Linked DNA regions of Lonchura striata. The protein of the gene in region 3 interacts with the protein of the main gene of each other region in a biochemical or structural test. Links are inferred from orthologs where the notes say so. Each region holds a gene or a part of one and is shown on either strand. Other genes may lie near its edges. The genes, in order: FGFR1, FGFR3 and FGF9.

Region 1 (10,264 bases), on a different chromosome or scaffold from region 3:
ACTGGTGTTATCTCCAACACCAGCGCTCCCAGGCACTGGGTAGTGCTTGGACATAGTTGTTGAATGTTCGGGATTTATCTGGGTTTGGAAAGGGGAGGTGGAATTCTTTGAGCGGGGGGAAAAGAAAGGTCTTTGGTATTTCTGGAAATTATTTTCTGTCTCTCAGTGGCTTTGTTTATCGACAGCACATGCTCCCCGGAACATGCCCTAATGCGGAGCGTCTGCGTGGGCCTCCCGAGCCGGCCCCGCGCCGAGGGGAGGGATGGAGGGATGGAGAGGAGCCCAGTGCCTCCAGTTCCTGAAAAATGAGTCAGTGCTGGCTCGCACACAGCAGAGCCCTTCTCCAGATACACCTCGGAGCGGGTGCCTTCCAGCTGATTCAGGGGCTTGACAGCAGGATATTTCCATGGCGTAGGGATGGCTCGGCAGCACAGAGCTGTCCCGTGGCTGAGACGGTCACTGGGAGGGAGGAAGGGAGGAACAGAGGGAAGGGTGCCAGGACCCAGCAAGAGCACACAGGGATGGTCAGCTTCCCAGGGCAGTGAGGGAGGGTGCAGCAGCCATGGCTTTTCTGGAGGGTAGGAGGACTGGGACGCACCCTGACTGCTCCTCCTGGAGCAGCATGCGAGGGAATCTCAGTGCTCAGAGATGCTGAAGAGGCAGCACAGACCTCTTCCTCCTTCCCAAGGGAAAAGGGGAAACTGGGGAACCCCAAGACACCTGCCCTCATGACTCCTTGGTGTCCACATGGGAAGGAGGCAAGGAAGTGGGGAGAGTGCTTCTACCTGTGCAAACAACAGCATGGCTCTTTTCAGTGTTTATAGAGCTTTTATATAAATCCCAACAGGAAACCATTTGCTCTGGAGGATGGCAGCTTGGGCAGGGTGGGTCTTGGCTCCTGCCAGGCACTGGGCACCATCCCCACTCCCCGTGGCCCCAGCACACTGCAATTTAGTGCTCCGGGGTGGATTCAAACAACTAAAAACAGAAGCAGCTAGAGAGGAGCCAGGGCTAAGTGCCCCTCGGAGACCTGCCTCCAAAACTGCAATTACAACCAGCCATTACACCCACAGAGCTATTTTGGAGTGGTGATGGACAACCCTGTGCCCATCCATGCACCCTCCAGGGGCACATGCTCCCTGTGTACCAGGAAAGATGTTCTCACACTGCCTTTGCACACCAGTGTGTCCACGAGGAGTCTTGTGCAACCTGTCTCTCACTGCCCTCAGGGACCCTGAGGGCTGCACTTTCGCTCCTCGCATCTCCCACAGCCCTGAGTCACAGGGCTGAGCTGTCCCAGGGACACTGCACAGACAGGACCTTCCCACTTGCACAGCAGATGCACCCCCTGGCTCTGAGCTGAGTGGCTCTGAGAGGGGAAGCCCCTTCCTGTCCTGTGGCTCATCTCTGGAATGCAGCTGAGGTGCCAAGCACAGGAGCTGGTGCAGGAGCAGGGTGTCCAGCCAGGGTCGGAGCCCTGCAATGCTGTGACATCTGCAGGGGAGCCCCAGTCTGATCCCTGTGTGCTGGATGTGATGGGGGTGGCTGCTGCCATGGGCTCAGTGGGGCTGGGGGGCTCTGGCTCCTTTCCTCTGCCTCCCTGCTGGGGCAGAGATGGCCCGTGGCATTCACCACGTCAGAACGTCCGGGCTGCCCTGGCACCAGCAGCCAGCGGCTAACACAGCAGGCAGGAAAAGAACAGGGACAGGCCAAATCCAGCAGGGAGAGGAGTCTGAGCTCAATTCCTGGGTCTGCACAGCATCAGGAGCCCGAGGTGGCAGACTGTGCCCAATCAGGCGCAGTCCCTGTCCCTCAGAGGGGAGGTGGTGACTGCCAGCAGACCACCCTGCCTGGCACAAATGCCCCTCAGCTCCAAAGCACATGAAAAGAGACTCCTTTTCCTCTGAGGCACAACAAAAGCAGCCCTCCAGCTGCCCTTGGGGAAGAAGGACACACCAAAGGCACAATCCGTGGGCGGCAGGAGCGAAGCCTTTCCCTTGCCCAGTGCCTCGTGCTCCAACCTGTGGCTCAGGTCAAGAACCAAGTATTTGCTGAAATAAAAGGCAAACATAACTGCACATGGAACTGTAGGGAAAACCTGTAATGCTTAAAGCAGACACATGCTTGGAAAAATAAATATCCAACTGTGCAGCATAAAGAGCATGTTAACCCTTCCCAGCTGGCTGCCAGGTCTTAGGGCTACCAGGGCCACCTCCAGCACCGAGCTGTGGGAAGGTATCCAGTGGTGGGAGAGCCTGGGACATGGGGCAGGAAGGACGCCCAGCCACACCCACAGATCTCCACAAAACCATCACAGTTCTAGAAGCATCCTCACACCAGGGATCCCTCCCTACCTCAAGACTTGATTTTCAGATATACAAAACAACCACTGATACCCAAAAATCTGTACTGGGCTGGACCCCTTGACTGCTTTGGGAGGAGACTGGTCAAGGACGAGGACACTGGGACACAATCACAGCCTGCCATCCCAGGCAGGGACAGAGACCCATTACCCAGCCCGGGAGGGAGCTGGATTGGGTTTTCACTACGTTGCACTCCTCCAAGGAAAGCCATTGAGAGGGGAAGGACACACAATTGCCATCATGTCCAGAAGCAGAAGGTCCCTAAAGGGTCAGAAAGTTGGATTTTCAGGATGGGATGAGCATCTGCAAGCAGCCATTTCCAGCAGCCAGGATTTGGGGGGGCTCCACCTGGGGCTGGAGACAATAAGGCTGCCGGCTCAGGTTATGTTTTTAGGTGGGTAGGTAAAGAGGGAGCTCCAGTTCACCTCTGGCAGTGACCCTTCCCGCATGGCCAGGGCAGGCACCTTGTGTGCAGAACAGCCCAGACGAGGCTCCCGCCGGCTGCCTTCAGCCCGGCACCACTCGTGCCTGCACCCTGCCGGGGCAGGGGCGATTTATTTTAATCCTCTGGGAGCAACACAAGGAAAAGGCAGCAGTGCGTGCCAGCCAGCGCAGGGATTAAGGGAGGAAGTGCTCCCGAGTGGGGAAGATGGCTGCGAGCCAGAGCAGGGGGCTGCAGGGCCCTCGCTCCCGCGGCGTCCCCGCGCCGCGCGGGGGGCTCTCCGTGCGCCCCCTCCCGTGCTGGCATCCCGCTCGTCGGCACCGGAGAGCCCCGGCGGAGAAACCACCGCCTCCAGCGGCGCACCGCCCCAGCGTCCCTCCGAGCGCGACCGTGAGAGCCGCTGGGTTCACCGACTGCCCGGGTTTAAACATTGCCGGGAGGGAGCTGCCCCGGCCCGCCGCGGTCCGGGACACGGGGCAGTAACTCGGTAACCCGGGCAGAACGGGAACGGCGAGGCAGCCGTGGAGCTCCTCGGCGTCACCTGAACGCACACACGCTCTGCTCCGTCCCCACACGCGGCCAGCGGCCACCTCCACGTCTCCCGGCCCCAGAACCACAAAAAGCACAACCAAACCCCTCTGCAACCGATCCCTCCGGGTGCCGAGGGTGACCGCATCGGCGCGGCGGTCACCCGCCATCGCAGGTGTCGCCGCCGCCTCCCCGCACTCCCGGCGCCTCCGCCGTGGGCGGACGAGCGGTTCCCGGAGCCCGCACGGCGCTGGGATGCGGCGGCTCCGGGAGCCCCACCGGCGCGGACACACAAAGGGAAGCACCAGCTCTGGGACGGCGTTATTCCAGCGCCTCCATTCCCGCTGACCGCCCCGGGATCCCAGAACTGAAACACACCAAACACAGCTCCTTCTCCATTTTTCTCTGGAAGCCGCAAGGCTCCCGCTCAGCTACTTTTGGGGAATAAGGGGCCAGGCAGCGACTCGGAAAACGACCCCCGATTCCCGCCAGGCTCCCCCGCGGCCGGGAGGGGATTCGGGGTCGGGACGGTGGGGGCGGTTCCAGTCTCGGTTCGGCCGATGGACGGGGTCGGACCCGCCGCCTTCCCAAACTGCTGCCCGCCGAGCGGCTGCACCCCGGGAACGGCCCGGGGCCCCCGAGCCCCGCACACCGGACCGCCCCGCTGCCCGCAAACCCCCGGGTCCCTCAAGGCGGAGCCCCCCCCGCGCCGATGCCGCCGTCGAGCCGCCCCGCCAGGGCAACGAGGCGCACCTGGGGGGGTTCGGCCGCGACCGAGCCCCGTCCCCCGACCGAGCCCCCGGGCCAGCCCCGCGGAACACAAAGCGACGCCCCGCGGTCCCGGTGCCGCCCCCCGCGCGGAGAGCGGCGGCCGTTACTCACCGGAGCCCCGCGGGCGGCGGCGGCGGCGCGGTGCCGCCGCTCCCGGGAACAATGGAGGGGAGCCCCGGCCGGGGCGAGAGGCGCAGCCCCACCGCCGCCGCGCTCACAGCGGCCGCCCCATGGCAGCCCCGGTCCGGCCCGGCCGGCGGAGGCGGCGGGAGGCGCTCCCGGAGCCGCTGCCGGACGCGCTCCCGAAGGCGCGGCCGCCCCGACGCCGCCGCTGCCGCTGCCCGCCCGCCGCGTCCCGCCGAGCGCCCGCCGCCGCCGAACTAAGCCGCTCCCGCACCGCCCCGCCGACAGCCGCGGCTCCTCCTCCGCCTTCCTCCTCCTCCTCAGCGGCCTGATGGGGCTTGTAGTCACAGCCGGACCGCCCCCCCACCTGGAGACCCCGCTGGCCTCTCGGAGTGGCGTTCCAGACGTCCCCCGGGGCTTTGCGGGCGGTGATCGCCCCGAAGGCAGGGCAGGCTGGGCTCGGGGCAGCACAGGGATGCTGGCCGTGATGTTCCCCTCACTGCTGCATTCTTGCCCTGTGGCTCTTGCTGGCACCAGGGGAGCCTCAGGCCCCGTGGGTACCGGCTGGGGTGAGGGGCCTGCCTGCACCCCCCGTTATCCCAGTGCAACACCCGGTGTGGAGGCAGCGGGATGCGGGCAGTGCATGCAGGCAGCAGGGTGGGCACAGCTCTGGGCATCCTGGAGCCCCAGCCAGCCCCTCTGCAGAGCAAGGCCCAGGGCAGATGTTTCAGAGGTCCCAAATCATCAGCCCCAAGTCCTTCCCAGGAGCCACCACTGCTGCAGTCCCTGCCCTTCCCAGCTGTTTTCACCGAGGTTTGGAGCAGGACCATGGCATCTCTAACACAGAGCTCCCCAAAACTCTCAGCACACACTTTTGGCTTAGTCTCAGCTGGGGCCACACTCAGTTCCCAAGCCAAAAGGCAGAGTGGGATATTGTCACACCAGTAAGCCCAGCGTGACTTCTGTAGCCCCCAGTATGGAAGGCCAGCTCACAGAGCCCCAGTTTGGGCACTCAGACGAGCTCCCCCAAAGCTGGACTGGCTCAGGGTCACACGGGTGGTGCAGGGCACTCAGCCTCCATGTGGGAAGCATGTGGGAGCAGTCATGAGTCCAAGTCAGGGCATCCCAGGATGAAGACATCTCCAGTCAGCAGGGAAAGACCTGCCGAGGCAATGTGTGAGTGATTAAGTTATAAGAGGGAAGAGGACAGGATGAATTAGCCCTGTCAGTCACCGGTGTTAGATTTGAACCAAATGCTGGGCATCCATCCCCAGGAGCAGCCTCCTCCTGCTTCAGGCAACCGTTCAGCTCCCCATGCCAAGACCTGTGGAATATTTCCCTTCCAGATTGACAGATTTGTGGACAGGGAGAAGGGGGGAAGGTAACACACCTGCTGGGATGTTCTCCCAGCAAGCTGGAGATGGGAAGTATTTCAGTGATGGCAGAGCCAACTCCAGCCCTGCACAAGCACTACTCATCCAGTGTACACTTAGGGTGCAGCCACCCATCCCTAGGCCTGCCTTCCTCACTGCCCAGCAGCCAGGAGCTTTGGGCTGAAGGTGCCGAGGCTGCTGGGGAACCCACAGCTGCTGTACCCTGCTATCCATGACTCCCACTAGGCTTCTGCCCCAGACTTTTCTATGCTGTCTCCAAAACAGACCTTACGGGCTACAACCCCTCATGATGGACAGGCTCTGGGGCTGCTGGTCCTTTGGCATGGTTTTCTGCATGATTGCATCAACAGAGCACCAGTTCTTGGGCCTTTATCAATAAAGGTGCTTGGAAACAGCAGAAAATGGGGAAAACCATCCCCTGCTCCCGGGAGGCTCAAAGATCTGGCTGCATCCTTGGCCTCAGCATCACATTGGGGCTCAGCACAGAAGTGACCATGAGCTGTCACCATCTGGTGTGTGCACAAGCAAGCCCTTCAGGATGGACAGGGAGGGGGAATGACCTCCTGGAGCAGGTGGGGGTCTGCAAGGGGCATGGCTGCGCCAAGGAGCAGCAGAGACCACGGAGCAAGCCAGAGCTCACTGTGGCCCTTTCAGGGCCCCCTGCCCTGCAGGGGTTGGGGCAGTTCCTTGGCATCAGCAGCCCATGCTGGGCCCCTGCCCTTCTCCTGGACCAGGGCAGGAAGCGTGTGATGTGCAGGGCTCTTCCGTGGACACATTTGCATTGGTGGTGCAGTTTTGAGGCTTGGGAGGCCAGAGCTTGGAGAGCATTGTCATGGCTGAGGGTTTTTTCTTGTCTGAGGAGGAACAAAGGCATTTGGGAAGCAGCTTCCCTGGGACATGGATCCCAGAGCCCACAGCTTGCACAGCCTCTGGCAGACCCCCCTTCCTCCCGCAGCACACACGGGGGCTGTACCTGCTGGCCCCCACCTCTGCCCTCCCGTGGGAGCACGCACGCCCCAGCTGTGTCCCTGCACGGAGTCACACACACGTGTGCACACGTGTAGCCCCTCCAGCCCCACGTGTGCCCATCTGCACACTCAGCTCTGTCAGACTGCCCGCCTCCACTTGCCAGCCCAAGGCCACGGGGTGGTCTTCATCTTCCTCCTCCTCCTCCTCCTCATTTGCTGCCTCCACACGCCGGCTCCCAGCTGCGGCATCGGAAGCAGCAAAATCCACCGCAGGCAAAGCTGACCCGTCCCCGCAGCTGGGAGAGCAGCCCGTCCTCCCGGGCTGGGGAGAGCAGCCCGTCCTCCCGGGCTGGCTTCCCCACGTCCCCAGAGTGCCGGACTGTGAAGAGGGGGCACAGAAAGGGCTGAGCCGGCAGAGGAGAGGCCCTGCACAATAGAGCGGCTCCCCCCTGACCTTGCCTTCCCCGTGAAAGATCTGCAGCTCTCCCCTCCTCCCCACTACAAAGGGGCTCCTTTCAGCCCCTAATTCTGCATTTAGAAAACAAAAGCAGATGCATCTAGTTTAGGTTTGGAGAGGGGGAGGCAAGAGCAAATGCTGAAGAACAAAGAGCTTTCCCTGACAGATCTGACTGACAAAGACTTTGTCAGCTCCATCTCTCCCTGAAAAGGCTGGAGCCCATCAGGGTGCGGGGCTCCTGGCAGGCAGCTGGCGGCTCCCAGCCCGGCCAGGAGAGCACACGCGTGTGGGACGTGCCCCAGCCCCGCGGGGCAGAGCCGGGCGTGCACATGTGCTCACTCGCGGTCCCAGGGACGCAGCCCGGGCCTGGGGCTCGGGCAGGACACGCCTGTGTGTCCCCAGATGGGAACCAGCACCGAGGGCAGGCTGTGCCCGTGTCACCCTCTGTGCTAATTCCCAAGACATGGCTGGTGTCTTTTCCCACTCTCCGCTCACAGCCAGGGCGCAGGGTTTGCTCTGCACCCTGCAGGGATTCCAGGTGTCGCAGGGTTTGCTCTGTAGCCTGCAGGGATTCCAGGTGTCGCAGGGTTTGCTCTGTAGCCTGCAGGGATTCCAGGTGTCGCAGGGTTTGTTCTGCACCCTGCAGGGATTCCAGGTGTGTTGCCTGGCCTTGGCAAAGCGCTTCCCATCATCTGGAACATCTGGGTCACAGAGAGCGCCTGGCACGCTGCCCCAAGGCTGGCAGCTCAGCAGTGGCATGCAGGGATGGGGTTTGCTGATGCCATCTCTGAGAGAACTCGAGTCCCTCTCACAGGCCACTGTCCAGCCAAGACATTTGGACCCACACTGGCTTTTTCTTTTCTTGGTTTCCTCTCAACACCATAACCTCCCCCACCCACCACTACTTGGCTGCTCCTCTGGGAAACACATTTTTTAGGAGTCCCTGCCTGCCAAACTGCCCAAACATCATCTTCTTCTTGGAGGTGAGGACCTGTTCCAGGACCACCAGTGCTTGGGGCACCACAATTGCACTTTTAGGAGACCTGGCAGGAGCTGATGGAGCAAGCTCAGCCAGGGACAGCAGAACACCGATGCCACCCAGCCTTGCCTTCAAAGCACCCAGCCCAGCTGTTTTTGCCACTTCTTTGACATTCCTGTGGTATCTCATTTTCAATCACAGCTGATGAAAGCTCTCTGCCCCATCACAGGGCTGAGAGTCCTGACAGCCTCTGGCTGGGACAGGACAGCTCCTGATGGTCCTCACAGCTTGGGACTGACCCCTCCAGCCAGGCAGGAGCTCCACTCCCCTGCAATTGTCACATGCCGAGGGGCTCATTAAGACATCACATGATATTTTATTGTCTGCAGACAGCAGTCAAGGCAGGCAACTCCCCAGCAGTGCTTGCAGCCAGGCCAGCACCCCTGCATGTCCCCAGACTGATATCTGCCTGCCTCCCGAGGCAGAGGGACAGGGGAGATGAGGGCCAATGGTGCTCAGGGCTCTGCATCCTCACAGGCACTCCTGGCACCAAGACAAAGCCTTCCCCACACTGCCAGAGCTGCCAGGTAAAGGGCTGAGCTATCCATCCCAGAAACCTGCTGCCCGAGAGTCCTGCCAGGCTCAGCTCCCTGCCCTGGGCAGTGCAGGCAGGCAGTTACTCACTGATGGTGCATCAAAGAGCTCCTGCCCACGGGGAGGCTCTGGTTTGCTGGGAGGTGAGCAGGTGCCCCTGGAAGAGCTGCAAGGCTCACGCTCATCCTGTAGGATGATTATCTACTGCAGTCTATCTCCTGTACTGGGAGAGCTTGACTTCTGCCCCCGATTGATTTGCAGAGGGAAATTAATTATGTTTGTTTGACATTGCCCCTCTGGCACTGAGGCTGAGCTGCTGTATGAATGTCATTCTGTTCCAGCCCAGCTTGCTCGCAGGGCTGGGATGTTTAATAAGCTGTCCCAGGGGATCTCCAGCTCTTCCCATCAGTTGCCCTGGTGCTTGATGCATGCCGAGGCTTCTTGGGCTCCTTGAAAGTGCCCACACACCCAGGCAAGTTCAGAGGGCTGGAATGGAGCAGAGCATCCTTGAGCTTGCTGCCTGTGGGCTGGAGAAGGGACGGGCTCCCCTGTGGACACCTGATGGCTGCCCAGGGCAGCGACTGTCTCTAGAGCCAGGGCAGGGCCAGGACACTGCCCATCCTGTCCCCTTGGCTCCCCACCCTGAGAAATGCTCCTGATATCTTTGGATTGGCCCCAGAAGATCTCCAGGGGCAGATAAAGGTGCTGAAGTCCATCAGAGCAGCAACAGCCACCTCCTCGGCTGTTATCTTGTCTTCACAGGGGGAGGACGCTCCAGATAAGAAATGTCAGTAGTTCACAGCCTTTATAGTGATACAGGCACAAGACAAATCACTTGGGGGTTCTCCTCAGATGAGGACTCTCTCCCTTTATCACACCCCTCCAGCAGTACTCTCAGCACCCACACATTGTCCTCTCCCTGCTGGGAACCGGGGACATGGGGACTGGTCCCTGGACCTGGTGGGATCCCTGTGAGTGTCCAGGGCAGAGCAGCCTGGGCTGGTGCAGAGATCTGTACGGACATGGGATTTGCCTCTCCCATTCCTGTGTGCGACAGGGCTGAGAATGGAGCTGGCAGCTCCTTCTCTCAAGGCCAGATGCATTTCACCTTCTTGTTACTGCAAAGATTCTTCAGCTGGATAATCTGCTAATGGCATTTTCTGCACGCTGTCATTTGGAAGCCCAACAGCAGCTCCTTCCAGTGGGAGATGGGCTGTCATTATGTGTCATTACCCACGGCCACAATTCCTCCCCCACTAACTGGAGCTGGTTTTTTCTTTCAAGTACTACTTGGATGTTTACAGGGAAAAAAGCCACAGCTGGGGGCAAGAGCCAGGATGAGGACTTTCCCCCGCACGAGTATAAAGTGAAAGCAATGCAAAACAAACTCAAGCAGGTTTAGCACCTGGAAGGAAGGACCCAAGCAGCTGGGCCCCTGTGCCCTGCCCAGGCTCTGATGAATGAGGGATCCAGTGGATCCCACCCTAGAGCTGCTCTGCAGTGATTGGCATAAGGATGGGAAGCAGAGAGGCCAGAGCAGGATAGAGGGGTGGTTGTGGCTGTGTGGTGTAACTGTGCTGCCTCCCCATCTTCCTCCACCTCATCCAGAGCTTTGGATCCCCTTGGATTTGGAAGTGAGTAACCA
Region 2 (9,846 bases), on a different chromosome or scaffold from region 3:
AGGGCACAAAGTAAGCAGCACCATCAATATATGAGAGACTCTTTGCAGAGGGTTTGAACACATAAACCCCAAGGCCAGCACCAGGAACAGCCAGTGCCATTTGGCACTCACTTCAATACCCCTATAATTTCAGGATGAACTTTGAAACAGTCAGACACACACAAAGCAAAGTGACACAGATCATATCCTACACCTTGGACCCCTCACTGAGCTCATGCTGGAAGGCTGCAAGAGCCCAGTTGCCATCAGCTGCATGAAAAACACTGCGGCCAGCACATCACCACTTCTTTCCACACAAAAAATGTCATAGGAATTGGTACATGCTCTCCCACTAAACTTCAACAAAATCTCCAAATAGTACTTGTTCTGTTTTTCTGGAAAAAAACTGCCTGTGCAGTATTAACTCTGGGTGACAATTCCACTCCTTGCACAAGGAAACTTTGGTTCTTGCTCCTGACAGACTGGGAGAGCTCTCCCCTCCCCTCCCCTCCCCACACAAACCTGATCAAACATTAGCAGCTCTCTATACAACTCTTTCAATGCACTCAGACAGCCTCACAGCTAACTAGTGCAACACAAATCCTAAAGAGCCCAGAAACTGCCTTTTTCCACATATACTGTGTGCAGACACATACACAAGCCAGTTACTGGAGACAGGATGGTTATCAGAATTTCTTAAAAGTTAAATGCTGCTGTTTCAGTTGGGCTGCTCTCTTAAGAAAACAGCCAGCATTACTTGACATTCACAAATCGTACGAAGTAATATCTTTATCTGAATACTAATGCAAATTGGACGGGCTTTTTTATATTGATGTCTATTCTGTGGCTGCTGAATAGAGTGACCGCATGCTCAAGGCTGCAAAGGAGTTCACTGACCTCCCTAATCATCTCTGTCATAGCCCCTGAATGACATACACATTCAATCCTGCCTCGCCTCTCTTACTTTCATTCATAAAAAAAAAAAAAAAAAAAAAAAAGAGGGAGGGGGAAAATTTGACATTGTTCTTCCTACAGCAGCTCCGAGAACGGGAGAGAAGAGAAACTCAGCCCAGATGAGGCCCCTGGTGTTTTTAGTTTAGCTTCTATTCAGCAACAGCCCCGCCATCTGCCTCCTTCCTGCCAACAGCCGAACACCTCCCTGCGGAGATGTTAAAACCTGCACCCCCTCCACCTCCGCTAATAGCCAGTATTCATATTAGCAAACATACACATACCTCGAGAATGCCTCCCTTCAATGTGTGTTTTATGTAGCTGAGTATAGGCACAAAGCAGTAGCTGTTATAGCCTTCACAGCCCCGTGCGGAGAATTAGATCACTGGGGAAAAATCCTTCCAAGCCCCTTTATGGAAAATAAGGCCTTAGACTGTAAATGCAAAGCCCAGCGAACAACAACCCTCAGTAATGAGCCAATACCCCATGGCCCATTTGACTAGGAGAAAGAATTTGCTTTTTACCATTCAATTCAAAAAGACTGAAAAAGTAAAATGTGTTTTTACTCGGCTCTGAAGGTTTATATTCTTTACAGTTTCTTTTGCACAACCTTTCCCCCCCAGGTCGGACAGGCAGCGGGTGCCCTGACCGTGGCAGAGCCGCTGGCTCTGGCACAGAGCTGGGGAAGCAGCAGTGGCTTCACGCGTCCCCACGCACGTGGAAGAGGTGGCACAGCCACTGGCACTGAAAAGCTCTGTCTCCCCTCATACTTCCCATCCACACGAGTTTTCAATAGCTCACAGTGACAGGGCAAGACGTTGCTAGGGGTTGGGGTTGACGGGAACCCTCCTGGTTTCCTGAATCCCATTCCAGGGCGCAGAGCAAGAGTTGACAGTGACATCTTTCATTTAGAGAATGCTGACCAAGAGATAACAGAGACTGTCCCGAGGATTTCCACGGGAGGCCCTGGAAACCCCAACCCATCACTCACTTCACAGACATCACTGGAAGGATGATTCCCTCTGTGTGACCTCCGAGTATGCCACTTGCTACGATTCCAACAGGATCCCAAAGCTTTAACTTGCCAAAGTATCGTAGAGCACGGGAGGGGTTTAGCACCACTTAACACATCGTCGACCCCAGCTAAGGGCTGAATGAAAGAAGCCCAGGGACCACTGAGGCAGCCACCGAGGTTGCTGCTCACCCCCACGGGATCGACTGTGTCTGAAAAGTGACAGCACCAACACGGACCTCAGGCTAAGCCAGAGAGAACTGGGGACACTTCGCTTCTGTCACTCGCAGCCCTGTGGCCAGCACAGGCTGCTCGCCGCCCTCCGCACACCGACCTCATCTGCTCTGACCAAGTCCCTGCCATGTTGCCCCATAAATCAATTCTTTTGGCTGTGAAAAATGAGCCAAACGAGTTACACTAAGAATCTGGTGTTTTATTAGGACTTTCTTAAAAACAAACCCAACCCCCTGTGTGATTTATAGCTTTAACCAAAAGGGGTATGAAAGTAATGCCCCCTACCCCCCAGCCTCCACGAAGTCCATTTATTCCCCTGTCACTTTTTTGGCAAACAGGCTTCGAACCCTTTCCTGAACAATGGAAACTTTCTGCCGGGTACATGCAAACCGGAGGACAGGGGGCTGCGAAGGGGCTCCCTTCCATTAAAGAGCTTTGAAAAATAAACAGGGACTCAGGTAGCAGCTGAGGCGGATCACAGAGACACGATGCTTCAAACCCGCCGTATATTACTTGGAAAGAAAAAAGCAAAGCCCAGCTTTTGCCCGACGTGTTAACTTTTTTTCACTTGCAACTGCAGTGCTGCCACTCCAGGGGAGATCCTCGCCGGCTCTCCCGAAACGCACTTCCCTTCTCAGCACGGCCGCTCATTCAGCTGCAACCCAGCCTGTGCCTACCCGGAGCTGTGGCAACACCCCTTTTGCTCCCAAGATGAGGACATAAATGACCTTTCCTTACTTTTCCCACCCGAACACACGCAGTCAGAGCATTCCCGATGTGTGCCGAAGATGCGCTGCTACACACGCACGCAAGCATCTTCCCAGCTGTTACCCACGGAGCGCCCCATGCACCGCCTGGCTGAGAGAACTCCTGGCAGACAGGGATCCTCTTAAAAGCACTTTGTCCCTTCTGGGCGGCTTTCAGACTACCCCGATCCACGGCGAGGTGGAACCGCCCCGGGCCCGCGTTCGTAACTCCCGCTCCGCCGCCGCCTCCAGCGGCCTCCATCCACCCGCCCCGCTCCGCTCGCTCCCGGACGGGGACTCGTAGCGCCGAACCCGGCCGGGCCGTCCCCGCAGAGCACGTGTGTGCGCGGCCGCGCAGCCCTTACCTGCCGGCTGCCCGCCGCTCCTCGCCGCCGCCGCCTTGCCGCCGCCCCGCCTTGCCGCCGGCATCCCGCCGACGGCCGCCGCCAGGCACAGGCACCAGACGGAGCCCCAGGCCGCCCGCATGCCTCCGGAGCGGCGCCGGGGCAGCGCGGCCGCCGCCGCACCGCCCGCCTCAGACATCCCCCGGCCGCCGCATGCTGCCGCCGCTCACCGCTCCGCTCCGCCGCCGCGCTGCCGGGAGAGGAGAGAGGCGCTCAGCGCGGGGAGGAGGACGAGAAAACCCCCCGCCCCTAGTGCCCACACAGAGGAGGAACAGGAAAAATAATAGTAAAAAGGCGGAAAAAAAAGCGGTGGGAGCAGTAAAAAAGTGCAGGGGGCCGGGCGAAGCCGTGCGCCGAGCGGCGGCGGGGCGCCTACCTGCGCAAGCCCCGCGGCCGGCCGCGCACCGCGCATCGAGGGAGGGAGGCAGGGAGCGAGCGCCCGCAGGAGCCGCCGCTGCCGCCCGCCCGCCGCCGCGGCGCTCCTGCGTCTGCTCCCAGCGCAGCGGGCGCGGAGCGGGGCGGCCGCGCTGTCCCCGCCCGCCGGGCCGGACCGCCCGCCCCGCCCCGCCCCGCCCCGCCGCCGCCGCCGCGGGGGGCCGCGCCCGCCCCGCGCCGCTCCGCGCCCGGCCCCGCGGCTGCGCGGGGGGGCGGCCGGAGCCGCGCGGGGCTGCGCCCGCCGAGCCCTCGGGGCGGAGCGGCACCGCTTCCCACAGACGTGAGACTGAAGTTGGCGCGGTGCTCCCATGCTGGATCCCGCGGCGGTCACCGCGCGTCCCCTTCTCCTGGCCCTGGAACAGCGCGTTTTCTGAAGAGGCGGCGGGAAGGGGGATGCGTGGGATGGGGACAGCTCTGTGCGTGCAGCAGTTCGGCTCAGCCTGGCACCTGAGCAGCAGATGGCCCATGCACCCATTTCCCCTCCATGGCTGCCACTCCGTACCCCGAAGTGAAGCCACCCGCTTCGAGCCCCCTGACTTCACTCCCCCACACCCATAATCGCTGTGATACGTGTATGGGAATCATGACAGGCTCCACGGCTCTCTGCGTGTCTCCTCTGCCAACTGAAGTAGCTGTTTTAATAAAGTCTGACTAGATGGATCTAGTCACATTTACAGTCACCACTGCAATGATCTAGTCACTATCACAGTTATAGTTCGGGTTTTTGTGGTCATCTCAGAGACCCCCGACACGGCCGAGCTGCTGAAGCGACACGCATCACTTACTGCTGACAGCGAGCTGATCTGCCTCATACAGAGAAGTCACAGCTCTACTTTAATCCCACTTGACACAGCAGCTCGTTCGCTGAAAATAGACGCAGATATTATCAGAGCTGAAAATGCCCTGCAGAAGGGGCCCAAAAAACCCAACCTGCGCTAGAGTCAAGGGGAGTTTTTCTGGGTGAGAGGAAAGGCGGGCGGTGCGGAGCTTTGGCTTGCAGCGAGGGGAGCGGCGGCGATCGCTCCTGGCCGCCGCGGGGGGCTCGGCGTTCGCGCTGTCGTCGCCGCAGCCGGGATCTCTCTTGACACCTTTATCAGGCACAGAGACTCTGACATCTCAATACTGTGGCATTGTGTGGGGAAGCATTGAAAGGGGCTGCGGCGAGGAAATCCTACATGTCAGTGGAGACCCTCGCCAGTGACACTGTCGGTTTTAAATTAAAACAACGGAGGGAGAAGCAGACATATAAATAAAATGTGCTTATTTCACCGTCACAGAGAAGGTTTGGCAGTACGTCAAGCTGTACAATGTTTGCTGTCATAACTGCTGTGCTGGAGGTGCCAGAAAATCACAAAAAATTAAAACAACAGCAGCATAATTATAACACTGCACAAGGAGTTGTTGGCGTCATTACTTTGAAGGCAAAATTGCAAAAGCAGGGCCAAATTCTGCTCTCAAGTAAAGCCATCAGGGTAGGATTGTTGTTGTAGCGTTATTTTTCCTATTGCTGTTAGTATTGTTACTATTACTACCTCAATTTTCCAAGAGGAGAGCAGCAAAGGAGGACCAGGAGCTTTCCTAAGTTTGCAGAAAAAAATAAAAACGTCGGTGAGAATTCAGTGAGGTTTTTCACACTGTAGCTGAGTTTTAAAAGTGCCACAGTGATTGTTGCTTTCTGTCAGGCAAGGGTAAAAACTCTCATGCTGCTCCAGGAGTAACAGGATGGAAACAGCAAATCTGAACCCAGAGAGTTTTAAGGTTACTGGGAGATGTGAAGGTCTGCACCGTGTATCAAGTTAGCTCAGCCCTTTAATGATTTTGAACTGGTTTTCATTTGGAAAAAAAACCAAGAGCTTATAACATTTGGAAGCTCTTTACAACAGGAAATCAAATGGGCATTAAGATAGTCCTGTATGAAGAACTTCAAGGTTTGCAGTTTTCCCTACAGCAGGATATTTTTAGTTTTCCTATTTATTAACCATGCGGAACATTCATGTGGTGTTGGGGAGCACAGACCCGATTAAGTACAGATTTTTTTGATGCTGCTTTGTCACAGTGGTGGCCACTGTAAGAGAGCCCAGGATGTAGTGCTGTGCAGCAAAAACTGCAGCTCTGGACTGTGTCTCAGCCACTCTCTTACTATAAAAAAAAAAAAAAAATCCATGTACATAGGCTAGTAAAGCCTGCACAACACAGTTGCATTTATTTCAGCACTGTTATGCCATAAGCCATATATTAGCCCCAAAGTTTTTCTTCCCCCTCAGGCTAGGAGCATATGCACTCCCCTCCATGCAGGGATACTTTCTCTGCCAACATGTTTGTTCTCCTTTTACCCTTTATAAGAATTCCCTTCCCAGACCTTTATATTTGTTTATCCCTTTAATATCTAAAGCTGCCTGTGATGAAAATCAAGCCCCTTTCAGCAGCTCAGGGATGGTGAGTGGTAGCCCTTTTTTGAGTGAGTGGCTTCAAGCCTGTCACTGTCACACACCTCCATCTGCCCAGACCCCACTGGGGGCTCAGCCACGGAGACTGGATGCCCTGGGACAGTTTTTGCAGAGCCTTGCAGGCCCTGGGGGCATTTGCATGGCTAAGCCCCCTCCCTCCCTTCATGCCTCTCCAAAGCCCTACCTTAGAGGGAGGCTGCTAATCTCTCTCTATTAAAGTGCAACCTGTTGATAGTCTCAAATTAAGTTACATGAAGGGTTCTGTCAAAAAAAGGGGACCAAAATTGGCTCCAGGTGTGAATGCTTTAAGCAGTCCCTTCTGCCTCTCTGTCTATGAGATGGGGACAGGACGGGCTGTCAGATGCTTGTCCCAAAGCCCTCAGGACTGAGGCTCTGGAGAAGCATGGAGAGAGGCTTTATTCATGCCAATGTCAGCCTTGATGACATTGCTGTCAGAAAGCCTGTGATCACTTCCCTTCTCCTGCAGCCCACCTCGTGCACTGTGCAAAGCTCTCCCCTGCACATCTGAGCTGCCAGATGTAGCATGGCAGCCAGAAGGCTCAGGCACCAGTGCTGCCCTCAACAAGGATCTTGCAAAAATTGCCCCCATACATCTGATACTCACAGGAGCTGCTTCCTTAGCCAGCAGAAAGCAATCCCTGAATCAATACTGAGTTAGAACAGAGCACTGAAGTAGGTGAAGCTTTAATTCAAATTTTAATATGCTGGCAAGTTTGATCAGAGTCTCAGTCACTTAAGCTGCTGAATCATATCAGGTTAGGTACACACAATAAATATTCCCAAATATTTCTTATCAAAACTGGGTCTTGTTAGCTGACTTGTGAGCCAGACTGGGTGTTGTGGCCTCACAATGCTGTAACACGCTGTTCCTTCAGCCCAGCCGAATGCTACAAGTTCACACAGAACTGAATTGAAATATTGGTTCAGAGATCAGTATCAGTGTGCATGACTAGAATCCAAGCTGTTCACCCTTAACCTTCAAGGGTTAAATAGCATCAGTGGATGCCAGCACTGGGGTACATTTTCCAGAGCTCATGTCACTACCCATTTATATCAATAAGGTGCATTGGAACGGCTAAACCGCTTTTTATTAGCTAGCCAGCCCTTAGAACTGCACTTCCAGGCTGGTTTATTGAATTTCAAGCTCGAAAGTCATTGTTGCTAAGATTAAGGTTCCAAATGATTGTCAGGGTAAACACTGTGAACAGACAAACACCTTGTGAAGGATCTCTCTGTGCCTGCACCCTCTGTGAGCTGGTTGCAACAAAATCTTATCCTGCTGGATTTGTTTCCCACTGAACAGCATGGAACAGACAAGGAATAAGGGGAAGGAGTGAGTTGTTTTATCTGAGGTGAAATAAGAAGGAACAAGTGAACTGGAGCTGCATGCTGGATCTATTCTGCAAGAGCTTTGTATGGGAGGTGCTGGCAGAGGTAAAATAATTTGTCAGCCTGGAAAGCAAAGCAGGCAATTGGAGAAAGTTGAGAAAAAACAAAACAAAACAAAACAAAACAAAACAAAACAAAACAAAACAAAAACAAAACAAAACAAAAACAAAAACAAAAACAAAAACAAAAACAAAAACAAAAACAAAAACAAAAACAAATAACTGGAGCAAGCCTGTGGAGGGTTTGAGAAGCAGGGATTTAAAATCAGACCTTGAAATAATGCTGACTCAGCACAGCAGCTGTGTGTGTGCAGCCAGGGCACTGCACCAGGGTCACAAGTGCTCTCAGAGGTGTCACTGACCACCTGCACGAGCTGGGTGTTGCCTGTCCTTGGAGCAAACCCTGGCAGCGTGCTGGAGCCTGGAGGGGATGAGACAGAGATCACTGCTGCCTGCCAGACCTCTTCATGCCATGGGCACATAGGATATTTCAGGCAAATGTGTGTGCAGCAGGATTGCCCTTGGGGTGTAGCAGGGCACCTCACTTTGAGGGGCATTTGCAATGAAGCCTTAGCCTGTTTAATCCCTGAGCAGACTGTGCAGGCTGATGCCTGTAAGGAGAAATCACACACTGCCAAGATGAGCTTCTGGGAGTCCAACAGCTGCCTTTGAAGTCTTCTCTCCTGGATGTGGCCAGAGACCACCAAAGGGCACCAGCTGCCCATCCACCCTGACTGCTCACCTGCAGCAGGGGTTACAGAAATTTCCCTTTTCTGCAGCCCTTTAGAGCTCACACACATTGCACTCTACCCCAGGTCCTGGCCCCACTGTATTATTGTCTGGTGGCTCTCCTTTCTCCAGGGGTTTTCACCTCTTCTGCCCCACTCCAAGGTAGGGAAAGGGATGAGTAGTGAGTGGCATGGGAACTTTCAGAACAAGCAGTAACATCCTAAAATAAATACAAGTTCAGGTTTTCCGTCTATAAAGGACAGCAGAATTATGGTCAATATTAGTTATTATTGTTATGACTTTTAGGCAAGCTCTTTCTCAGTGTAAGATTGACTTACCTGGGAGGAAGCTCAAATTCAGTCATGCTCAATTCTACTTTAATACAGCCTGTATGCTCCCTCAAGCCAGTGCTGACACAGTGTTGTGTCTGATACCAACCCAGCCACATCTAGAGGCTGTCTTCTTGCAATTCCCATGGTAGTTTTATTTTTCCAAAGGGCATGGTGCAAGCTCTGCTGTGAGTGTACTCTGCTGCAGAGGTAGGGTGGGTGGATCAAACATGAATCAGCACATTAAATATGCAGGATGTATTACAGGATTGTGTGACTCCACAGCTTTTACTGGCCTTTGAAATAAGAAGCAACAAACATATATTCCAGATTCAGTATGCATGTCCAGCAGCTCTGCAGAGGAAAAACAATTGAGGATCTTCACAAACAGATAATCCTCTAGGGGACAGTTAAGTGTTATTATCCCTGTGGTACACTCTGTCATTCCAAAACCCAGGAAGGCAAAATGCCTTCCCAAATATCAACTCCTGGTCTGCAGCTTGGCTTGTGGGACCATGTCCAACTCTGTCACAATAAAGTGTTAACTACCTCAGGGCTCTTGTGCTTTTGCAGGAATGTGATTCCCCTCACAAGCTTGCTGTATGTCCAGATCAAACACAATGAAGAATACAACCTGTGGTCAGGGAGGTTTGGCCTCCCTCAGCCTCAAAAGGCCTCTGCATAGTAATTGTGGCATAAATAATTTCATTTACCATTAAGGGAAAAACATTTGTGGTGTGGAAAGCAGCAGTTGCATAAGAAATTGGATAGGAGGCAGGTAAGCATTGACTTCAAGGCATTTCATGGAGCCAATGCCTTTAATCAACAAGGGAAATATTTGAATTTTAATAAACTAACAATGAAACCAGAGTCATGTTTTGACAAGTATTTCCAAACATTCCAGGAACACTTCGATGCTCTAGCAGCCTCTTTCCTAGGGAGGGAATTGATGGCTTGGGTTGTGCAGTTTGCAATGTTCAAAGAGCCTTTCCAGAGGAGATGGGGTGCTGCCATGGGCAGGGGCAGGTGGTGGTACCAGTGGTACTGGGAGAGATGGACAAATTAATGTTTTTAATAAATGAGAGCACTTCCTTTCTATATTGGACAAATATCCTCTTCTTAGAAGTGAACTCAATGCTGGGAGCTTTTCTTGTGATAGAAATTATCTTCC
Region 3 (10,058 bases):
TTGATTATCTGAGATCACATTACGGGGGGGACCCAGCCGAGTTCTCTCGGGGAGCTTTTCTTTTAGAGATGGACATCTTGCTGCAGGAATTGCGAAATGCCAGGGCTCCCAGAACCGGGCGAGTATAGACACACAATATGGCTCGGTTCATTGTACGCAGTAGGCACGCATCCAACATAGCATCACAAAAGAATTACTCTTATCTGATGTCTCTCCAGAGGTGTGTGAGGGGAGGGGGATTCCCACAGGGCAGAGCCCAGAGAGGAGTTTACGCGCGGCCCCCGGGGTTTTCTCTTTGTCCTCCTTATTCCTAGAGAAAAACTTCCTTCTGACGCGTACCCCCGCATCCACACACGCTCATGCAGGTTGCCCGCACACGTGTGAGCCCGCTCTCCCCGGGGCAGCTCCCGAAGTTGGGATGCAGACCTCCCCAGGATCATCAGAAGACTTCAAAATCACCAAAACTCAAATAGCACCAGCTATTCTGTGACCTTCCGGCAAACACAACAGCAATGTCACGGCACGGATACAAAAGTACCGAAACCCCTTCCCTCCCGCAGAGAAGCTGGGAGCCCCACGGGTTTGCCGTGCCCGGTCTTCCCAACCCCGGAGTGAGCAGGGGCATCACCCGCGCGCTACATGCGGAAAAGAGTTATCACCGAGGCGTGTCCCGATGGGGGGGAAGAGGGAGATCAAACCGACCAAAAAAAAAAAAAAAAAAAAAAAAAAAATCTATTTAAAGCCAAGGCGCTGCAAGGGGTGGAAGAACTGACCCTCGGAATTGTCAGCTTCCTACAACTGCGGCTGGAAAGCCATTTTTAAAAATAGACGCCACGAATAATGTGGCCACCGCCGCCTTGCGAAGGGAACAGCTGGCGGCCCTCCTCCGGGGGCGGCGGGGCCCCGCGGGCGGCCGCCCCCCGCCGCCCCGGCTGCCGGTGCGCGCAGCGCCCTACACCTGCTGCGGCCCCGCTCCGCGCCTCCCCCGCGGCCCCGCGCAGCGCCGCGCCCGCCGCCCCGCGCCCGCACCGCAGCGGGCAAGGGGAACATGCGGCGGTGGCTCAGCAGCTACGCGCGGCGTCTGCCCGTGCCAAGGAAAACGCCTAGCTGCAACACCCACCCCCTCCTCACCAGCCCCATTCCCCTCACTACGCGTCTGCCTTAAACACTTTCCGCACTTTTTCTCGCCAGTAAGCGTGGATGTTGCGCCCCCGGGAGAGCCGCGACGCTGCCCCCACCCCGCACCCAGCCCCGGAGACCGCGGGCGCGCGGCGTGGGAGGGAGGAAGAGCCTGTAAGAAGCGTGAGAGTGTCAGGGAGCAGTGGATGGAGGGGGATGGAGGATGAACCTGCGACCATGCGAGAGCGTCAGTCCTCTCCTCCCCCGTCCCTCCCTCCCCGCTTCTCTTATGAGCCGTTTGGAGATCATCTCCTACAACACCAGCATTATCTAAATAGCTTCACAAAGCAATAAAATGCAGCTTAGATATCGTTCAACATCTGGCATTAAAATACAAAGAGAGAAAAAGAATCAACACAGGACTTTGTTTTTACGACCGAATTTAAGCGTTGTCAGGTTGGTTCACTCACAAGTTAACTCCTTCCAATAGCTGGGAGCGTGGCGAGCTAACCTGGCATATTTTCCGCACCCCTCCTTAAAAAAAAACCCCAAAGTATCAGCTCAGCCAGGCTGTTTTAGTCACTTTCATACATTCAATCTGCCGGGCCTTTAACAGACCCCCGGCAGCCGAGAAGCTCCAGGCTCACTGGACTCGCGTGTGCATGTGCATGTGTGTGTGCATGCACAGGCTCTCCGGAGCGGCCGCGGCCAGCAGCCCTCCAGCCCTCGCTGCTGAGTCACAAATAGTGTCCCCTGGAAAGGAAACCCAGGGAATGCTCTTTTCAAATTCTCTGCCAGTCTGACACGCCACGCAGCTCGAGAAAGGCAGGTTTTGGCGCAGGATTCCCCGCTGGTTCCGAACCCCACCTGCGCTCCCTCTTTCCAGGGGCGCCTGTCACCGGCACTGCCGCACGGCTGCGGGTGCGGGCTCGGGCGGGCGGAGAGCCTGGCTGCGGGTCGGCGTCCGCTGCCGCGCACTCCTCGCCGAGCAGCGAACCAGACAGGGTGTGCAATTCGGGAAGTTACTAGGGCAGGTAATCGGCAGAGAAAACGAAAGAAAAGCCCTCGTCAATTTGCGTATAGGACGAGAGCCACTCCCTCCAGGAAACTCGGTGAATTTTAAATTGTGGTGGTTAATGATTAAAAACCCTTTAAACTGCGAAATCAAATCATTCAGCAGAAACGTCCCGAGCAAAAATTCCACCACCACCACCTCCCAGTACGCGTCTGCTCTTAAGCAGAACTTGGGGCTACACAAACATCGCTACCGAACACCAGGCAAGGGTTCCTGCTCCGCCGCGGTGGTGCCGTTCGTGTACATCTGCACCCCCGGACACATTCATTTTTCCCCTCGGCGGATCAGCCATCAACACAAACCACCCTTCCCGCCCGCCTCGCACCCCCCACCGTCCCCCCGCCCGCAGTTCTGCCCCATTATTTCATCACATGATCACTAAAGGGTTAAGGAAAATACCTACCAAATCTGCTGTGGTCTTGCCTGGTTCCCTGGATAGTACCATTGGGGAAGATTTCTAAATGAAATCCAGTCCTGCAGTATAGCTGCCTCCGCCTGAGGATCCCCTTTAAATGGTCCAAGTCCGTGACCGCAGGCCCCCTGGGTAGCCCACCTGCCTCAGACTGACCCAGGTGGTCACTTAACAAAACCGGACTATCCACCGGCAAAACGGGCACATTCCCAAAGGGTACTGCATCCTGCACACCGAAATAGTTCCCAACTTCACCTAAGGGAGCCATCAGAAGATTCTGCTTTTAGAGAATGAGAATAAACAATAATGATGGTGCCAAACCCAGGAGATATAAGATTAGGTATATTCCACTCCTCTCCCCTCCCTAGCGCAGTTACAGAGAAAATGTTCTTTCTTCAATCCATTAAATGCATAAATAAAAGTAATATTCTGTTTTGACTGGTACAGGTTCAAGGTCAAACCAGTTAGTCTAAGAAACCACCACTTTATACTCACACACTGACATATTTATAAACATATAGATGTGTATATCTATATAAATGCATATATCCCCAGCTCTTAGCAAGCAATAAGGTCTTCAGCCCATCCAACTGTAATAAAGAAAAAAATCCGTAGTTTCTCCATTTGGTTTAAGATAAGAATGACCATAGCAACTTAAATACCTAGGCGTTATAGGGATTTTTTTTTTAAGATGCACAGGCTACGTCAGGATTTATGGATTCTGACTCCAGAAAGGCATGCGCTGTTTTTACTCTATAACAGACTGCATACATCAGCATGAATCCTGCAAAGGGGGAGGGGGGAAATCTCACGTTGTTGGCTGAGATAAATCCAAAAAAAAAAGGAAAAAAGAAAAAGGAAAAAAAACTTTTGACGTCCAAATCTATTATCCAGAATTCTCAGGAGGCTCAGCAGATGTCCACTGGTTTAGGATTATTGACGATCCACAAGCAAAGCAGCAACATACAAGTGCTTGTGTCTTTCTTGGCTGGCTCGAAACAGGTGTTGCTTCTGCAGGGCTCCCTGTGAAATGTTGTACTCCAGCACTGAGCTGCAGCTCTTGACTGTGGATCTCCATCCAGCACGCAGAGTGGCGCAGGAAGAGGCATTGGGCTGGGTTTAAGGTAGTCCTGATTGCTGCTGGAAGGATTCTGCGAGGTCCTAGCGCTCAGCCCTACCTGCTGCAATACCGAGCCGCTTCCAGCGCTCGGCACGGCGCGGAGCGGCTCTTGCCGCTCTGCGGCAGCGCGGCGCTCGCCGGCAAATAAATAAATAAGTGGGCGAAACTTTGGGGGAGGAATAAAGCGACGCGATGCTAAATATACCGCGCCCGCCCGCTGCGGGAAGCGGGCTCCTCGGGAGATGCCCGCATAGCCCGAGTCCCCGCTGACATTGGCGGGGGGAGCGGGGCGGGCAGCGCCCTGCCCGCCCAGCCGGAGCTCAGCCCGGGGCCCGGCCCCGCCGCAGGGGAGGCGGAGGCGAGCCCGCCCCGCACCGCTCCGCAGCCCGGCCCCGGCCCGCTCTGCCGCAGGTAACCGGGCTGCCGCTGTCCCAAGCGGGGTTCAAACTCAGCTCCGGCGATCAAAGCGGCGGGGCGCGGGAAGTTCGGGAGCTGGGGCGGGTGGTGGGGTTCGGTATTGCCCACGCCGCAGTTCTCCACTCTGGCCCCCCGCCCCGGCAGTCCGCAGCCTTCTCGCTCTGCCCCTGCGCTACCGGGGGCACTTTCGGGGATGCTACTGCCGGTGCGGGTAGAGCCGGGGCCCTGCCACCGCCCGGAACGCCCCGCGGGCCACCCGTGGCTCCTCGCTCGGCCCCGGTTTGTAAGAGCGCGGTGGAGGGAAGGGAGAAGCGAGCAGGAGGTGTTATGGGGGGAGATAGGGGTGCAGTGCGAAATACGTGTTCTCTTTGCCCCCAACCCCTCCCCCGTCCCCCAAAATGAAGTTATTTGAAACTGTCGGGAGGGACTCGGCAAGCGGAGAGGTTTCTGTTTCTTCTTATGATGCCCAGAATTGTGGTTTTGCCCTTCGAAAAGAGCTGCGTGAATCAGCAAAGGGACAGAAGGTCTCCTGCACTTGCAAAAGCGTTCTTGAGCAGAGCTCAAGGACTGGGCACGATGCGGACCTTGCACGAGGGAGAGGACACTCTGGCAGCCCCTTGAACTGAGCACAAAACCTAAAGACAGGCTCTTTTGGGAATAGTGGTGGGAGAGAGAGGTAGGGAGAAAAGGAGGAGAAACATATCTTGGGAGCTGGGGTAAGAGATTGCATAGTGTGAATGATGATGTGCACCTCTGAGGTAGCGGGGTCCAAGAAGGTCGTTGGTGGAGCCTGGAAAGAGAACTCTAGAGGAGGAGAATTTTGCAAAGGGGTGAATTAAAAATAATTGATTCTGCATGTCCTGCTCGATGGGCATGCGGTGGAGGGGTTGGCTCTCTTTGCCTTCCCCATCATAAAAGCCAGCAGTCCAGCTCTGACTGGTGCAGCTTTCCTGCATCCCTCTACTTGCCAATGTGACTAAACACAAAAGGAGGGAGAGAGACTACTTTCCATGTCTAGCAGGAAAACTGCAGCAGGGAAAAGCTGTGTCCTGAATCCACACAGACCTTTAGGGAACTGACTCACACCAGTGGTGCAGAAGTCACCCCCCCTTTTTATTTGACTCTAACAGTCTTTATTGCAATTTGAAGGACAGGATGCAGAAGCTTCAGAGCAGGGTCATATCACTCTAGTTCTGTACAAACCTACAAAGAGTTGCTCCATATCAGCCCATGCATTTCAATATGCAGGAACAGAAAAAAAAGCCCAACAGCAAAGCAGTAAAGTCCTTGCACTCCACAAATATTTCTGAAGCATTTAGCTTCTTTTTTTTTTTTTTCTTTTTTTTTTTTCTTTTTAAGGATTTAAGGACACTGCTCTCACACACTGGTTATATCAGCACGAACAACTGCAGAATGACTTGGGAAAAACTGCAGAACTCACCATGTCAAAAATCATCATTCTTTATCAAGTGGATCATGGCAGTACCCAGAGGCCCCGTTCAGGGCTCATAGTTCCGTTGTGTCGGATACTGTAGACACATGTAATAAGAGAGATGGTCTATGCCCAAAGAGCTTATGATCTTAACCCATGATGAAAGACAACAGGTGTATAATACAAACCCATGGGGGAAGGATAAGGGAAAAACAGCCTTGAGAATAAAAAGCAACAGGCCCAGCCAGTGACAAGTGTTTGGTGTCAGAAGGAAGTTTTAAGGAGATTTGAAGGAGAACAATAAAGGAGCTTTACGGTTATTAATAGGGAGATTTTTCCATGCATAATGGCTAACTTGGAAGAGAACATAAAATCGCTTGTTAAAAATTTGGACAGTGTAAAAGTAAAGGTTTGTGCCACTGGTAAAGCAGAGGGGAATATTGCCAAGTGACCATAAGGGCCTGGTATCTGTTGTGCTCTCAGGAAAGAGGTTCCCAGCTCCTTTCTGGTGCTTTAATTTACATTTCTAGTCCCAGTGAAGAGTATTATATGATTTTTTTTTTCTTTATTCCAGGCTTCAGGATTTTCTATCTTGTACTTCACATCAGCTTACCTTATGAAAAATATCTTAAGGCAAAGAAGAAACTATTGGTGTAGTTGCCTTTTTTTTTTCTTTGTGAGGGAACTTAAATTAAAGCCTAAAGGTTATTTGCTATAGGAAGTTTAGTGTTATAAAAGTGTTATCTAAGTTGAGGCTTTGATGTTTGAATTACTTATAAGTATCAAAGCCACACATGAATTATGCAGGACATCCCCAAAATTATACCCATCTGTGAGTAGGTGGTATTCCAACCTTGCTTCACATAAAATCTGTGTGTGATGTGTAATGTCAAACTTACCCCTTACAAAAGTTTGGCATTGCTGATAGCTGGGGCTGTATTAAAAACCTACACTTTTATCCCCAAGACACTGAGGCAGGAACATCCCTAGCTCCCCTCTACTCGAGATTCACACCCACTTCCTTTATACCCTCCTGGAATTAAAGACTGCATCTGCCACAGTGAGTCATCACAAGCTTACTCATCAGCTTAATGCAGGATTTGAACTCCTGAGAGCAGAATTGGTCAGAACGATCCTGCATTTCTTGAGGAGTTCCTGGCACACATTCTCTTCACATGTACCACACTAATGTGGCACCTCTGTCAGGTTATAGATATTATGACACTTTTAAAAGAAAACTGTTTCACCTGTACTCTGCCACCTAGTTTAGTTTTAAAATATCTTTTCACATATAATTTTTTGAGTATCATATAAAAAATAACTCAGCCTGCCAAAACAGTTTTTTTCTTGGGTTTTATTTTTTTTTAACTCCCCTCGTATAATTTCACCAAGAGCAAGTTCTTATTCTGGACCTTTAATGTATCTAACTCATTTATTTTCCAATCTTGCAGACAGAGAACTGAACGGCTTAGTTATTAAAAAGAGAGGTGTTATGACTTTCCCATGAAACACATAGCATTTGCCATTTTTACTAAAATGTCTTGAGGCAGAAAACTTTGAAAAGCTTTTTTTTTAATATATAAATGGTGAATATGATAAAAAGTAATGCTATTTTCAGTTTTCTCAACAAATAAGAATTTTAGGGTATTTCAAAGCATGACAAACTTGGATATAAGACTATTAATTAATCTCATCTCACTTGAGGCTGCTAGAATTGAAACATCAAGATATAAATGATTTGTTCTTTAACACAAAGAAATAGAAGCAATTTTAGGGCACAAATCATCTGACCTATTCTAGGCATCTACTTTAGGATAACATGACTCATGCGTTAAAGATGCTTAATTCTTCCTCGTGTATGGAGGAAGCCTATATTTGATGTAGACTTCTACATGACAGAGGTCTAGATAGGACTGCATAGATCCCACCTGCTGCCTTGTACATGTGATTGAGCATTTCCCCAGAATGGCTGGTGAGGGCACTGAACTATTAATACAGCTACACAAATTAACACTCAAAAGAAAACTGATGTGATCTCAGCAATGAAAAATGACTGAAAGTCATGATTATCAAACATTAGATTGACTGGAAATAAAGAAAACATTTGTCAAAACAAAACAAAACAAAACAAAAAGCCATAGGACTCAGGTTAGCTGGATTAATAAAAGAAATGTCTACAAATTCAGAAAATTTAAACTGGAGGAATGTATTTGCTTTCTCATTTTAGAGACTGTAGGAAAAAATAGCAGTATTGATGACCAAAAAGATTCCTATAAAAAATTCCAAAATTAAGCAAGAAAAGGCCAGTTCATCAAAATTTTACACTAGTGTAAAACATGCAGTTTAGATGGAAAATTCCTGGAAAACACCAGTGTCAGTGTCACCATGCGATACACAACAGCAGTGGGATATTTGACATGGTGTTATGGTATTTTGCAGTGTACAGGAATTAGTGAATCACATAAACAAATACTGGCAGAACATGATCTTTGTCATCATCCTAGGGAAGGAGTTATTAGGATAAAGTAAAGTGCATTGACACAGGTGTCAATACAGTCTTTTTGAATACATGTCCTTGTTGGTGATACTTGAAGATAGATAGGGTGATGTAAGAGTGAAAGCTGCCAAATATGTTTGAATTTTCTGTGATGTGTTTATTTATACATAGCTTGTATCTGCTGATTTTAGTAATGAATTGATTGTCCACTGTGTTGCAAGTCCGTCCACCTCAAGAGCCAAAGTGCCACTGATTGAAAGGAGAAAAAGGGAGTAAATCAGTGTTGCCATGTGTGCAGGTGACCACAGAGGCCTCAACGTGGCACGCAAGTTGTGTGGCAAGGCTTGCAGAACTGCTCATTTTGAGAACTTCTTTGCCACGGCCAGTGCTTTTCTTCGTGCACCTTCCCTGCCCAAGCACACAGCACCTCATCAGAGGTTTCTGCCTCCTTCATGCTCCCATATTGTCGGTGCTCAGTTGTAGCTGCAGTCTCGGCAGGGCTTGCTAGCAGGCTGCAGGGCATCCTGCAGGCTCTTCCCTTCGCTGATATTTTTCCTCTGTAGATAGTTCACTGCCTGAAAGTGAGGCTGCCTTCGTACACCAGCCAAGGCACACTGCTTGACCATCAGCTGGATGCTAATTACCAGTACCTGGACTGGAGCTGCCGACAGCAGCCAGGTCCTTGCCACCTTGCCACGCAGGGAGAAGGCGCCTGTCGGCACCTGCCCAGCCCGGCAGGAGCTGGGTGCGTGCCCCACTTACCGCTCCATGGGCGCTGCGGCAGGCGCGGCAGCAGCCCGGTGTGCCGTCCCCCCGACGGTTTAGGTCCGTGCCAGCTCCATGATGGCTCTATGCCCGCTTTCTGGAACGGCCAAAGGCCTTAAGAGCTTTCCCGATGGAAGGGCTTACCTCTCCCTCCACGACACCGTGGCCACCCAGGACATTTCATGCCGAATGGCCCCGAGCCCAGGCCTGCAGCGGCCACCCGGAGCTGCTCCCCACGGGGCCGCATCGCTGACCCCGCCGGGGCAGGGGGGCCGGGCGCGGCGGGCCGGGGGCTGCGGACAGGGGCAGCCGCGCTTGTGCGGGGCTCTCTTGCCCTCTAGCGGGCGAAGCCAGCGGGGCGGCCCCGCCGTGCCCCCGGCCAGCGCTGCCGTGCCGGGCCGGCGCCCGCGGCCCGCTCTGCCCGAGCCCGGCGCCCGCACGGCGCCGGCAGCGCGGGCACGGGCCGGGGCCGTGCCCTGGGGCCGGGCCGTGCTGCGGGAGCCGGGCAGCCGGGCTGGGCAGCGCGGCAGGAGCAGCGCTCCGAGCAGAGCGCCTGTCCAGCACCGCTCAGCCAGCTGCGGGGAGAGCGACCAGCGCCACGGCCCCAGCCAGCAGCACGACGAGCTGACGAACGAGACCGTAATGGGGCAGCCAGAGATGCCATTCGTCTTTGCGATTCCTTCAGCCGGTTTGGTGGCTGACCATGACCTCATAGCTGCGACCACAGCTACGGATGGGGAGCCAAAGGGGAGCACGGGGCTGTGCACCCCAGCTGCCGGGCAAGCATCGTGTGCTCGCTGGTGCTGAAGAAGGGAGCAGTCACTGCGGACAAGGGACTGCCGGGCACGGGCCACGCAGGGACTTGGAGGCAGCTCTGCATCAGCCCAGAGCTGAGCGGGGTAGAAGTGATGCTGAAGGCCGTGTTTGGGAAAAGGACATCTCTGGTCATGTGGAGTGTTCTGACACATCGTAATTTCAGTTCTTTAAGTCGTATAGTCTGTGTTTACTAAGAATTCTCCTTTTCTGCTAATGGCTTAGAAAATATTTCGGTATTGTCATCCCCATAATCTTCCTCCTTCCTGGTTCCAAATCAATAAAAATTTAGTCCTTTCCTACATTATTTTAAGTGTACTATGTCCATCTAACAGAACTTCATACATTATCACTAAGAATGCTTGTTTTACAAATGTTTTAGAAAATTTACATATCTTTTTAAAAACT

Evidence for each region.
Region 1: the proteins of FGF9 (region 3) and FGFR1 interact in a biophysical measurement, tested with the Homo sapiens proteins (2 studies listed by BioGRID and IntAct, with this or other methods). The link is inferred for Lonchura striata from reciprocal best matches to the Homo sapiens genes FGF9 and FGFR1.
Region 2: the proteins of FGF9 (region 3) and FGFR3 form a complex in vitro, tested with the Homo sapiens proteins (3 studies listed by BioGRID and IntAct, with this or other methods). The link is inferred for Lonchura striata from reciprocal best matches to the Homo sapiens genes FGF9 and FGFR3.

The regions. Positions count from the first base shown.
Region 1 is NC_134634.1:4,489,645-4,499,908, forward strand, and holds the start of FGFR1 (fibroblast growth factor receptor 1), read right to left. Parts: upstream 4,255-10,264; 5' UTR 4,216-4,254; intron 1-4,215. UniProt on the Homo sapiens protein: Tyrosine-protein kinase that acts as a cell-surface receptor for fibroblast growth factors and plays an essential role in the regulation of embryonic development, cell proliferation, differentiation and migration.
Region 2 is NC_134606.1:8,142,068-8,151,913, reverse strand, and holds the start of FGFR3 (fibroblast growth factor receptor 3), read right to left. Parts: upstream 3,779-9,846; 5' UTR 3,703-3,778; intron 3,517-3,702; 5' UTR 3,466-3,516; coding exon 3,288-3,465; intron 1-3,287.
Region 3 is NC_134604.1:71,332,951-71,343,008, forward strand, and holds the start of FGF9 (fibroblast growth factor 9), read right to left. Parts: upstream 3,855-10,058; 5' UTR 3,419-3,854; exon of another isoform or gene 3,269-3,418; intron 2,884-3,268; 5' UTR 2,875-2,883; coding exon 2,598-2,874; intron 1-2,597.